Linked DNA regions of Stegostoma tigrinum. The protein of the gene in region 1 interacts with the protein of each later gene in a pairwise test. Links are inferred from orthologs where the notes say so. Each region holds a gene or a part of one and is shown on either strand. Other genes may lie near its edges.

What was found. The genes of interacting proteins can lie anywhere in the genome.
Region 2: the proteins of dusp12 (region 1) and ppp2r3b interact in binary tests that used the Homo sapiens proteins (3 or more experiments, as listed by UniProt). The two-hybrid records come from large-scale screens. The link is inferred for Stegostoma tigrinum from reciprocal best matches to the Homo sapiens genes DUSP12 and PPP2R3B.

What each region holds. Positions count from the first base shown.
Region 1 is NC_081361.1:42,796,989-42,804,170, forward strand, and holds the start of dusp12 (dual specificity protein phosphatase 12), read right to left. Parts: upstream 3,014-7,182; 5' UTR 2,983-3,013; coding exon 2,657-2,982; intron 1-2,656. UniProt on the Homo sapiens protein: Dual specificity phosphatase; can dephosphorylate both phosphotyrosine and phosphoserine or phosphothreonine residues. Can dephosphorylate glucokinase (in vitro).
Region 2 is NC_081359.1:98,680,015-98,686,930, forward strand, and holds the start of ppp2r3b (serine/threonine-protein phosphatase 2A regulatory subunit B'' subunit beta), read right to left. Parts: upstream 3,006-6,916; 5' UTR 2,939-3,005; intron 1-2,938. UniProt on the Homo sapiens protein: The B regulatory subunit might modulate substrate selectivity and catalytic activity, and might also direct the localization of the catalytic enzyme to a particular subcellular compartment.

The DNA of each region.
Region 1 (7,182 bases):
ACTTCCGCATGGTAGACTAATTAGTAAAGTTAGATCACGTAGGATTCGGGGTGAGCTTGCCATTTGGATACATAGTTGGCTTAACAGTAGGAGACAGAGTGTGATGGTGGAAGGTTGCTTTTCAGTGGTGGAGGCCTGTCACCAGCATTGTTCCACCAGAGATCGGTTCGGGGTCCTCATCTGTTTGCCATTTATATTAATCATTTATATGAGAATACAGAAAGCATGGTCAGTAAGTTTGCGGACGTCACCAAAATTGGTGGCATAGCAGTCAGTGAAGGTTTTCTAAGCTTACAAAGGGATGTTGATGAAATGTCAATTGGCTGATGAATGGCAGATGGAGTTCAATCTGAGGCATTGCAGTTTGGTGCAATAAACAAGGGTAGGGCCTTGGATACTGTTGTAAGACAGAGGGACCTAGGGGTTCTTTGAATTTTGTGTCACACATAGACAGGATGGTTAAAAAAAAACATTTGGCATGCTTGCCTTCATTGTTCAGTCCTTTGAGTATAGGATTTGGGAAGTCATGTTGAGGTTGTACACGATATTGGTGAGGCCCCTAAAGGAATACTGTGTCCAGTTCTAGCCACCCAGTTATAGGGAGGATACTATCAAGCTGGAGAGCATTCAGAAGAGATTTACCAGGATGTTGCCAGGTATGGATGGTTTGAGTTATAAAGAAAGGTTGGACAGGCTGAGACTATTTTCACTGGAGCATAGGAGGTTGTGAGGTGACCTTATAGAAGTTTACGAAATAGTTACAGGTATAGTTAGAGTTAAAAGGCAGTTGTCTTTTCCCTAACATGGGGGATTTCAAGATTGGGGACATATTTTTAAGGTGATAGGAGAGATTTAAAAAAGACATGAGCAGCATTTTTTTTCCCACACAGAGGTATGGTTCGTGAGTGGAATGAACTTCCAGAGGAAGTAGTGAATGTGGGTACAATTACAATGTTTAAAAGACATTTGGATAAGTACATGAATAGGAAAGGTTTGGACGTATATGGGCCACGAGCAGGCAGGTGAGACCAGTTTAGTTTGGGATTATGGTTAGCATGGACTGGTAGGACCAAAGGATCGGTTTCTGTGCTGTATGACCCCAATGATGTCCCAACCCCTACACCCAATGTTCTGACCAATGAATGTAATGCCAAACTTACCACCCTGTCTACCGGCAACTCCACTTTCAAGGAATTGTGCACCTGGTCTCTTTATTTGGCAATGCTTGTTGACCATAGAAGGTGCATTTGTAATGTGAGCCAACAGGATTACTATCCATCTCTAAATCCTGATCGCTGTAAATACTGAGGTTCTGAAGATGGGTTACTGGTCCAAAACATTAACTCTGATTTCTTTTTACAGATGCTGCCATAGCTGCTGAGTTTGTCCAGCAATTTCTGTTTTTGTTTCTGATTTCTAGAATCTACAGTTCTTTCAGATTTTTGTTTAGCTGTAAGAGTGGAAAGTTTTCTGGTCAGCCATCCTGCAGGCGCAATGGAAAAGCACAGCAGTACTTTGCACATAAGGGTGGGCGAATTCAATGGAGGTTCTTGGCCCAGCCCTTGCAAAAAGGGACAAAGACAAAGTTGCTGGAAAAGGTCAGCAGGTCTGGCAGCATCTGTGACGAAAAAAAGTTAACGTTTTGGGTTCAGTGACTCTTCCTCAGAATTGAGCAGGAACTCCTGTACAGGTGAGTAAAGCTATAATAATATTAACTTGCAAGCAACATTCTCCCTTAGACATAAACAGATAACGCCAGAGCAATTTGTCAAGTCTGACAGCACCAATGGAGACAGAAACAGAGTTAACGTTTCAAGTCCAGTTTGGCTCTTCTTTACGGGCACAACACTAACTGTTTGCTCTAAGATTTCACACAACAGCCCTCAAAGACCAATTTCAAAATTAAACGCAGAATTCTTAAAAAAAAACAAGTTAAATGCAGTTACTAACTGCAGTTCAAAGTCACACCATGGAGTTAACTTCGAGATATGGGGAACAGTGGACAGACTGGCAACAATCATAGCTCTGGCTCATGTCTAAGATACAACTGACACATGAAATTCAATGGAGGATCAAATACGAAAGATAAACAATAAAAACAAGTTTTTGGAGAAACTCAGCACGTTTGGCAGCATCTACGGAGAGGAAACAGCGACCTTTCACCAGACTCAAAACGTATACTGCTTTCTCTTCACAGATGCTGTTTCTCCACAGACCTACTAATTTTGTTTGTTTCATATCTACAGCATCCACAGTTCCTTGTTTTATTGTCAATGGTGTAAGATAATTTCTTTCCCAACATTTGCGCTGCGTTTATACGTCTGTAAACCTAAAGTAGCTCATGCTTTGCTAGATCATGTTTCACTGGAAAACAAATGAGCTATTTCTAAAACAAAAACAGAAGTTGCCGGAGATAGCAAGAACTGCAGATGCTGGAGTAGGGGATAACACAGCGTGGAGCTGAACGAACACAGGCAGCAACACAGGAGCAGGAAAGCTGACAGTTGGGGTCGGGAATCTTCTTCAGAAAGTTGCTGGAGCAGTGTTGCTTTCGATATTCAATATAAATGTTTAAAAGCTTTCTGCTTCGGCACCTTGCCCTTTATTGACATGTTATTTGCTTTAACTGAGAATTTGTTTCCAGGTATAGACCTGCCTATAGTAGCTGGTAATGGCGAGTGTGAAGAGATACAGGAGCAGTGTGTTTGGTGTCAATGGGAAGCAGTCAATGTACCAATGAACCAGGACAGCAGCTCCTGCTGCAGACAGCGCCTCCTGCACAAACCGCACGCAATCGTCCAGAAAGCTCAGCAGGTCGGCGGCTGCATCGTCCAGCGCCCGCACAAACATCGTCCGCCGGTCACCGAGAGGCGGCGGCTCGTTGGAGTCCACGGTCAGCACATGGGAGATACCGGTGTCCGGGTGGATCGTCGCCGCATCCCCGGACGTCCCGAGAAACAGGCCACACCGCAGCCGAATCATGGCGGCCCACCTGACGCTACCACGCACGGAAACTTCCGGTAGGAGGGGCCAGGCGGCGGTCCGTTAATGTGGGGGGTCACGTGTGAGAAGAGGCGGGGCTGGCCTGGGCACCCTGGGCTGTGAGGGTGGAGATAGCACTAAGTCGAGAACAAGGGCAGACCCATAGCTGGGAAGAGTGCACACTGAATTGCAGAGAAAAGGGACCAGCAGTAGCATGGTAGGCTCTCGGGGGGGGGGGGGTTACAGTGGTGGGGAAAGATAGGGTACAAGGTGAGAAGTGAGTTCAGGGTGATCTGAGAGCATGCCAAAGAGGGTATTGTGAGAGCAGACGTACCACCAATGGAAGTAGAGGCATGGGGGGTAGGCATGAGAAGGCACTGGGGAAAGGAGATAAACGGGGGGAGACCAGCCAGAGGAGATTGGGTGGGTGAGTGAGAGAGCAGATGGGAGGAAAATACAGTATAAGTGGGAAGAGACATTAAATAAACTTTACTTAAGCTGCTTAATTGGCCATAGAAATGTCAGTCAGTGGCATTAAGTGCTGCACTTGTGAGATGTGAGAGATCCATCTGCAGGAAGTGCAACCAATTGCAGCTTCTCACAGAATGTGTGGATATGTTGCAGCAGCAATTGGATGCACGTAGGACCATGAGAATGGCAGAAAGCATCATAGACAGTAGTTTTAGAGATGTGGTAACACCCAAGGTGCAGGCAGGTAGATGGGTGACCAATAGAAGTCGCAGACAGCCAGTGCTGGTATCCCCTGTGGTTGTCCTCCTCTCTAACAAGAATACCATTTTGGATACTGTTGGAGAGGAATGACCTATCAGGGGATAACAACAGTAACAGCCAGACTGGTGGCACCACAGCTGGCTCTGTTCTTAAGGGAAGAACAAAGAGCACTAGATATGGGGGACTGTATAGTTAGGGGTACAGATAGGCATTTCTGTAGATGTAAAAGAGACTCCAGGATGGTCAGTTGCCTCCCTGGTGCCAGGGTCCAGGATGTCTCTGAAGCATTCTGAAGGGAGAGGGTGAACAGCCAGAGGTCGTGGTACATATTGGTACTGACCACATAGGTAGGATGTGTGATGAAGTCTTGCAGCAGCAGTTCAGGGAGTTAGGTAGAAAGTTAAAAAGCAGGACCTCCAAGGTTGTAATCTCCAGATTACTCCCTGTGCCAGGTGCCAGTGAGGCTAGAAATAAGAGGATAGTACAGCTAAACAGATGGTGTACGAGGGAGGGTTTCAGATATGAGTGGGTGTTCAGATAAGTGGGGTATGGATGCTAGAGCAGTTGCTTGCTCTTCCTGCAGAATGTGGCAGGTGGGAGACATGGCACACGTCTCCGCTGGCTACATCTGCGGGAAGTGCACCCAACTCCAGCTCCTTGGAAACCGTGTTAGGGAAATGGAGCTGGAGCTGGATGAACTACGGATCATTCGGGAGGCAGAGGGGGTAATTGAGAGGAGATACCGGGAGTTGGTCACTCCTAAGGCTCAGGACAAGGATAGATGGGTTACAGTTAGGGGGAGGAAAGGGGATAGAGACAGTGCGGAGATCCCCTGTGGGCATTCCCCTCAGCAATAAGTATACCGTTTTGGATACTGCTGGGGGGGATGACCTACCAGAGGAAAGTCATAGTAGTCAGTTCTCTGGCACTGAGCCTGATACTGTGGCAAAGGAGGGAAGGGGGCAGAATAGAAAAGTACTCGTGGTAGGCGACTCGATAGTTAGGGGAATCGACAGGAGATTTTGTGGTCAGGATCAGGATTCCTGGAAGGTATGTTGCCTCCCTGGTGCCAGGGTCCGGGACGTTTCCGATCGGGTGTATAAGGTTCTAAAAGGGGAGGGCGAACAGCCAGAAATCGTGTTACATATTGGCACTAACGATATAGCCAGACAAAGGATTGAGGATATAAAAAGTGATTTCAGGGAGTTAGGATGGAAGCTGCAAAGCAGGACGAACAGAGTAGTGTTCTCTAGTTTACTACCGGTGCCACGAGATAGCGAGGCGAGGAACAGGGAGCAGGCGCAGCTTAACACGTGGCTGCGCAGCTGGTGTAGGAGGGAGGGCTTCAGATATGTAGATAATTGGGATGCCTTCTGGGGAAGGTGGGACCTGTACAAGAAGGACGGGTTGCATCTGAACTGGAAGGGGACCAAAGTCCTGGGTGGAAGGTTTGCTCGAGTAGTTTGAGACGGTTTAAACTAGTATGGCAGGGGGGTGGGTACCGGAGGTGAGAGTTGATGCAGGTGAGGCCATAGCAAGAGGTAGACCAGCTAGTGGGAAGGATTTTCCTGGGAAGGAACCAAGGGATCAGTTAAAGTGTGTTTGCTTTAACGCAAGGAGTATCAGGAATAAAAGTGATGAACTTAGAGCATGGATCAGTACCTGGTGCTATGATATTGTGGCCATAACAGAGACATGGGTTTCTCAGGGGCAGGAATGGTTGCTGGATGTTCCAGGGTTTAGAGCATTTAAAAAGAATAGGGAGGGGGGAAAAAGAGGAGGGGGTGTAGCACTACTAATCAGAGAGGGTATCACAGCTACAGAAGCTTCCATTGTCGAGGAAGATCTGCCTACTGAGTCAGTGTTGGTGGAAATTAGGAACAGCAAGGGAGTAGTCACCTCGTTAGGGGTTTACTACAGGCCCCCCAATAGCAGCAGGGAGATTGAAGAAAGTATAGGTCGGCAGATTTTGGAAAAGTGCGGATGTAGTAGGGTTGTTGTTATGGGTGACTTTAACTTTCCCAATATTGATTGGAACCTCCTTCGAGCAGAAGGTTTGAATGGAGCTGTTTTTGTAAGGTGTGTTCAGGAGGGTTTCCTAACGCAGTACGTTGACAGGCCGACGAGGGGAGAGGCCATTCTAGACTTGGTGCTCGGAAACGAGCCGGGGCAGGTATCAGATCTTGTGGTGGGACAGCATTTTGGTGATAGTGACCATAACTGTCTCACATTCTACATAGCTATGGAGAAGGAGAGGATTAGGCAAAATGGGAGGATATTTAATTGGGGAAGAGGAAACTATGATGCGATTAGACATGAGTTAGGAAGCATGGACTGGGAGAAATTGTTCCATGGTAAAGGCACTATAGACATGTGGAGACTGTTTAAGGAACAGTTGTTGCGAGTGATGAATAAATATGTCCCTCTGAGACAGGCAAGAAGGGGTAAGATAAAGGAACCTTGGATGACGAGAGTGGTGGAGCTTCTTGTGAAAAGGAAGAAGGTAGCTTACATAAGGTGGAGGAAGCTAGGGTCAAGCTGAGCTCTAGAGGATTACAGGCAGGCGAGGAAAGAGCTCCAAAATGGTCTGAGGAGAGCCAGGAGGGGGCACGAGAAAGGCTTGGCAGAACGGATTAGGGAGAACACAAAGGCATTGTACACTTATGTGAGGAATAAGAGAATGGTCAAAGAAAGAGTAGGGCCGATCAGGGATAGCATAGGGAACTTGTGTGTGGAATCTGAGGAGGTAGGGGACGCCCTAAATGAGTTTCTTACTTCTGTCTTTACGAAAGAAACGAACTTTGTAGTGAATGAAACCTTTGAAGAGCAGGTGTGCATGCTGGAATGGATAGAGATAGAAGAAGCTGACGTGCTGAAAATTTTGTCAAACATTAAGATTGACAAGTCGCCAGGCCCGGACCAGATTTGTCCTCGGCTGCTTTTGGAAACGAGAAATGCAGTTGCTTCACCACTTGCGAAGATCTTTGCATCCTCACTCTCCACTGGAGTCGGACCTGAGGACTGGAGAGAGGCAAATGTAATTCCTCTCTTCAAGAAAGGAAATAGGGAAATCCCCGGCAATTACAGACCAGTAAGTCTCACGTCTGTCGTCTGCAAGGTGTTAGAAAGGATTCTGAGGGATAGGATTTATGACCATCTGGAAGAGCATGGCTTGATTAAATGCAGTCAACACGGCTTTGTGAGGGGCCTGTCATGCATCACAAACCTTATCGAGTTCTTTGAGGATGTGCCTAGAAAAGTTGATGAGGGTGGATGTGGTGTATATGGACTTCAGCAAGGCTTTTGATAAGGTTCCCCATGGTACGCTCATTCAGAAGGTCAGGAGGAATGGGATACAGGGATACAGAATTGGCTGGCCAACAGAAGACAGCGAGTGGTAGTAGAAGGAAAATATTCTGCCTGGAAGTCAGTGGTGAGTGGTGTTCCACAGGGCTCTGTCCTTGGGCC
Region 2 (6,916 bases), on another chromosome or scaffold:
GTCTTGAGGCTGTTTTCATTAGAGAGAAGAAGGTTGAGAGGTGACTTAATTGAGACATGTAAGATAATCAGAGGGTTAGATGGGGTGGATAGGGAGAGCCTTTTTCCTAGGATGGTGACGGCGAGCACAAGGGAGCATAGCTTTAAATTGAGGGGTGAAAGATATAGGACAGGTGTCAGAGGTAGTTTCTTTACTCAGAGAGTAGTAAGGGAATGGAACGCTTTGCCTGCAACGGCAGTAGATTCGCCAACTTTAAGTACATTTAAGTCATCATTGGATAAGCATATGGACGTACATGAAATAGTGTAGGTTAGACGGGCTTCAGATCGGTATGACAGGTCAGCACAACATCGAGGGCCGAAGGGCCTGTACTGTGCTGTAATGTTCTATGTTCTTAAATAAACTTGACGTCCTCAAGAGATAAAGGAAGAGTAACTTCCCATAACTTTAAGACAGCATTTAACTGAAGTATCTTGTACTCATTAGAGTTTAGAAAAATGCAAGATGGCCTCACTGAAATGCAAGATTCTTGACAGGCTTGACAGGGTAGTTGTGGAGAGGTTGTTTCCCCTTGTGGGAAGAGTCCAGACCAGAAGATATAATCTGAGAAAGGGGTCACCCATTTTGGGCAGCAGTAAGGAGTATCTTTTCCCACTTCTCAAAGATTGGGCAATCTGTGAAATTCTTTACTTCAGAGGGCAGTCAGGGCTGGGTTGTTAAGTATATCCGGGGCTGGGTCATTAAATACATTCAAAGCTGAGATAGGCAGTTTTTTTAAACAGCAAGGACATCCTGTGTTATGGGGGAAAGGTAGGAAAGTGGAACACACGGCTATTTGATCAAGTATGAGCCCATCAAATGGCACAGAAGACTCAATAGCCTGAATATCCTATTTCTGCTCTCATGAGTGCAATTCTAACAAGGAGCTCAACACCATCCAGAACCAAGTGGTCTTCGTAGTAAGCACCCATCCACCACCCTCAACTTTTACTTCTTATGCAAGTGGCATATAATATATACCATATACAAGCTGCAGCACAGGAACTCTCCTAACACCTTTCAATCCCACGAAATCTGCTGTTAGTTGATCTAGCAAACAGAAACAGAATCCACTATGAGCCTACAAAATGGCTCAAGGGATTGAATGGCCTACTCCTGCTCCTATTAATGATTTTATCATCTATAAGAAGGGCAGCAGATGTACAGGAAAATCCTTGGAATTAAATCACTGGCCCTCAACTGCCTCCCTAATAGCTACATTGATGGACGGGCACGTATACAAGAGGCTGCCAGGGAAGAGGAGGAAATGGGTACAATAACATTTAGAAGGATATGTATATGAATAGGAAGGAATGAGGGGGAGAGAGATGATGGGAACTGCAGATGCTGAAGAATCGGAGACAATGAAGTGTGGAGCTGGATGAACACAGAAGGCCAAGCAGCATCTTAGGAGCACAAAAGCTGGCATTTCGGGCCTAGACCTTTCATCAGAGAACAAAAAGTGAGGGAAATATGGGCCAAATGCTGGCAAATGGAACTAGGTCAGATTGTGATTTCTGGTCAGCATGGGTTGGACTAAACAATCTGTTTCCAAGCTGTATACCTCTGCATCTGCTTTGTGGTCCACCTAGAGCAATGGGACTGCAGCAGTTCAAGAAAATGGCTTGTCACCTCGTTGTAAAGGGCAATAAATGATGGTCAATAAATGCTAGACCATCCAGTAGTGCCCACATCTCATAAAGGAGTTATATTATAAAGGCTCTTTACAATTTCAAATTGGTGGATTCACCCAAATATCAATTATATCAACATTACATCAAGACATAATTTTACAAAAACCAACAGTTACACTTTTATGCAAAACACATACACGGCAACCAAAACAAAATAAAATCTTCAACATGGATATGCAAGGCAGTCGTTTTAAAATCATGAGGTACAAGTAAACCCTCAACTAATTCAGGGCAAAATAAGATGGAAATTCATGGACTAGGCACAGTATAGAGGGACGGGGGGGTAGTTTTTTTTGTAAAGTCAAAAAGCTATAGAAATCATCCCTAAAATCAGAGTCTTGCTTCAAATAAAATACTTGATTTGCTAAAAACGACTTCCTTCATCCTATAAAAATCCCTTTTTAAAAGAATGCTGCCAGGGTTCTTGTGGTGCAATGGCAGTGTCCCTATCTCTGCACAAGGAGGCTGGGGTTCAAGACCACAAAGTGTGGAGCTGGATGAACACAACAGGCCAAGCACCATCTCAGGAGCACAAAAGCTGACGTTTCAGGCCTAGACCCTTCATCAGAGAGGGGGATGGGGAGAGGGAACTGGAATAAATAGGGAGAGAGGGGGAGGCAGACCAAAGATGGAGAGAAAACAAGATAGGTGGAGAGGAGAGTATAGGTGGGGAGGTAGGGAGGGGATAGGTCAAGGAGGTGGGATGAGGCTAGTAGGTAGGAAATGGAGGTGCGGCTTGAGGTGGGAGGAAGGGATAGGTGAGAGGAAGAACTGGTTAGGGAGGCAGAGACAGGCTGGACTGGTTTTGGGATGCAGTGGGTGGAGGGGACGAACTGGGCTGGTTTTGGGATGCAGTGGGGGAAGGGGAGATTTTGAAGCTTGTGAAGCCCACGTTGATACCACTGGGCTGCAGCGTTCCCAAGCGAAATATGAGTTGCTGTCATAACAGTTCTGAAGAGGTGGATTAGAAAACAAAACGTAAAATCAACATGGTTCTGACTGAAGTGCAAACATGATACGAAAGGGAGGAGGCGTAGAAAAGGGGGCTGGCCTATGTGGGGGAACTGAAGCCTGGCGTTTGGTTGCCATGCCATCCAGCCCTCAGCTGCTACTGCAGGCCGCTCTGTGGAATGGCACACGGCAACGGGAATAGGAGGGTACTCTAATGTAACTCAACACCGAGAGCTACGGCACATTCACCTTACCTGTTGCTCTCGCCTTCCTACCCCAAAGGCCTGTCAGCCAGCTTCTCACGCCTCTTGTTTCCCCCCGCCCCCGCTTCAGCCCCTCCCACCCCCAGACCGCACAACGGGTCTCGCGTGAACAGCGCCTCCGCCCCGCTACCCCCTTCCAAATCGCGCGCGCCTCGGTCACCCCGGCAACGCGAGGATCTCCCGCCTTTGCAGAAATGATACACGCCTTGTTGTGGCACGTGGCAAGAGCCCGGGACATTCAGGGTGCCACCTTGCTCCAGGTTATCAGCACGTCTTCCATGAAGGGGGCTCTTTTTTATTGCCATGTCTTCCAATCTCGCTGCATGTGCACATATCACACAATTTCAGGACTTGCACCGTTTCTGGACCTTCTTGAGTGGTTCGGTTAAGTCTGTTGGTTGGATGGTCGGAGATAACAAAGTGTATGAAGCTGGATGAACACAGCCGGCCGAGCAGCATCAGAGGAGCAGGAAAGCTGACGTTTCGGGTCTGGCCCCTTCTTCAGAATTGGGGGAGGGGAAGGGGAAGAAATAAATAGGGAGGGGTGGGAGGCGGATTGATGGATAAAGGAGAAGATAGGTGGAGAGGAGACAGAAGTCAAAAGGCAGGGATGGATCCAGTAAAGGTGAGTGTAGGTGGGAAGTTAGGGAGAAAATTGGTCAGTCCAGTGAGGACAGACATCAAGGGGGCGGGATGAGGTTAGTAGGTAGGAAATGGAGGTGGGGCTTGAGGTGGGAGGAGGGGATAGGTGGGAAGAAGGACAGGTTAGAGAGGCGGGGACAAGGCTGGACTGGTTTTGGGATGCGGTGGGGGGGTGAGATTTTGAAGCTTGTGAAGTCCACATTGATACCATTGGATGGTTGATTTGTTATGCAGAGCCTAGACTCAACAACCTGCATCACCTCAGATCGCTGTCCTCAACATTTCACCTGTAATGAGAGAGTAGCCCTGATGGCTGTTGTGGACCAGGAGGTCTGGGTTTAAGCCCCACCTGACCCAGAGGTGTGTCATAACATCTCTGAACAGGTTGTTACAAAATATCTGAGAAAGCAGCCCTAAGGTAGCACTGTGTGGAGCTGGAGGAATACAGCAGGCCAGGAAGCATCAGAAGAGCAGGACAGTTGACATCACAACCCTTCTTCAGAAATCTGCTCCTCTGATGCTGCCTGGCCTACTGTGTTCCTCCAGCTCCATACTGTGTTATCTCTGACTCCAGCATTGCAGTTATTACTAGCTCTGAGTGAGAAAGCAGCCCTGTTATCTGGTAGAACTGTGATGACTCTATTTTAGTCTCTAATTAATTTTCTTTCCAAATGCTTAACTCAAGCCTTTTAAGAATCATTCTTTCAAGAATTTCTAAATCATTTTCATCAAATCAGTGATTGCCTGCAACTCAGGAGGCACTCATTCCATGAGACCATAAGCTGTAGAAGCAGAATTAGGTCATTCAGCCCATTAAGTTTGTTTTACCATTCTATGAGATCTTGGCTGATCTGATAATCTTCAACTCCATTCCAGAGAGTGGTGAGCCAATGGAATTCACTGCCACAGAAAACTGCTGAGGCCAAACATTGAATGTGTTCATGAAGAAGATAGTTCTTAGGGCTAAAGGAATCAAATATTATGAGGTGAATGTGGGAAAAGTGTATTGAGCTGAATGATCAGCCATGATTATTTTTAATTGCGGGCAGAATCGAATTTGGCCTATTGAGTCTGCTCCGTCATTCAATGACATCATGGTTGATCTATAATCCTCAATTCTACGTTCCTGCCTTTTCTCTATCTCCCTTGATTCCCTTAGTTTACAAAGTCTGTCTGCTCCAACCTTGGACGTACTTAATGACCCAACTTTGCTAGCCCTCTATGGTAAAGTATTCCACAGATTCATCACCCTATAACGGAAGAAATTCCTCCTTCGTCAAAAATGTGAAAGGAAGAATTCTATATCATTCATGTTCTATATTACAAAATCTGCGTTGCTATATGCATGGTTTATGTTGGCCATCTGAGATGCCTTGGGCAGATTCACTGCCATCAACTCTTTTTATTGCTAATAGTCTACACTTAGTGATTCCACATGGAGAAGACTATTCATTTAAAGCCTTCAGGAGAAGAGAGGCTCTGTCTTGTTGAACAGAATAATTTTAATACATAGTCCTTAATGACTGTTTATATTACTGATGTAATGTGGCACCCTCCTGTGAGACATACATGAGTGTAAGCAGTGTCAGAGATAATGGGAACTGCAGATGCTGGAGAATTCCAAGATAATAAAATGTGAGGCTGGATGAACACAGCAGGCCAAGCAGCATCTCAGGAGCACATGCTGCTTGGCCTGCTGTGCTCATCCAGCCTCACATTTTATTATCTTGGAATAAGCTCTGATGAAGGGTCTAGGCCCGAAACGTCAGCTTTTGTGCTCCTGAGATGCTGCTTGGCCTGCTGTGTTCATCCAGCCTCACATTTTATTATCTTGAGTGTAAGCAGTGTTTCTTCTGAACTGCATGACTGACACATTGATATACATGTTTGGACATTGCAGCTGCGCACAAACTTCAGAGGGCAAAAATCAAGAGGTGTAGCATGTAAGTACACATTAATATTAGCTCACAAGTTAGAAACTGGTTAGCTTGCCACAAGGAGTGGTTCCTTACAGATGATTTTAATCAACCTGTTCAGAACATACCATGACAACCTCTGGAGTAGGTGGGCCTTGATCCCAGGCCTTTTAGCCCAGAGGTAAGGACCTGCCCCTTGTATCTTTTTACCAACTGATTGTAAGATCATCCATAACTATGTGAAGAAAAAAAAACACTTGTAAAGACAAGTGTAGTTTTCATAGAAACCCTACAGTGTGGAAACAGGCCCTTCAGCCCAACAAGTCCACACCGAACCTCATTGCATCTCACCCAGACCCATAATCTACACATCCCTGAACACTGCAGGCAATTTAGCATGGTCAATCCACCTAGCCTGCACATCTTTGGACTGTGGGAGGAAACTGGAGCACCTGGAGAAAACCCACGCAGACACGGGGAGAACGTGCAAACTCCATGCAGACAGTCACCTGAGGGTGGAATCAAATTCAGGGCCCCGGCACTCTGAAGCAGCCACCAATCAGATATAGGGGTTATTATAATAGAAAACAGAGATGGCAGATCAATTAAATAATTATTTTCATTCTGTATTCACAAAGGATAACCCAAAAAATGTCCTTGAACTGTTGGGAAAGACAGTGTAGTGAGACAGAGGAACTGAAGGAAATCAGATGGGAAAATCAGGGTAAATTGATGGGATTGAAAACTGATAAATCTGTAGGGTCCAATAATCTACATCCCAGATTATGTAAGGAAATGACCATAGAAATAGTGGGTGCGTTGGTGATCATCTTTCCAGATTTTGTAGACTTTGGAGGGTAACTAATGTAACCAAACAGTTTTTAAAAGGAGGTAGAAATAAAACAGGGATAGACCAGTTAGCCTGATGTGATTGTAGGGAAATGTCTAAGGCACATTATAAAAGATTTATTAGAAGAGCATTTGGAAAACAGTGACAGAATTGAACAGAGTCAGCATGGATTTATGTAAGGAAAATCATACGTGACAAATCTATTCGAAATTTTCGTGGATGTAACAAGTACTGTTGTAAGGAGTGCCAGGGATTTGTTTTGCTTGGACTTTTAGAAGGCTTTTGATAAGGTCCCACATAAGACGTTACCATGCAAAATTAAAGCGCATGGGATTAGGGGTAATGTACTGACGTAGATTGAGAACTGGTTGGCAAACAAGAAACAAAGAATAGGAATAAAAAGTTTGTATTCCAAATGGCAGCTAGTGACTATTGGTACCACAGGGATCACCGCTTGGACCCTAACTATTCACAATATATGTTAATGATTTAAACGAGGGAGCTAAATGTGACATCTCCAAGTTTGCAGATGAGACAAAGCTGGGTGGGAGGGTGAGCTGC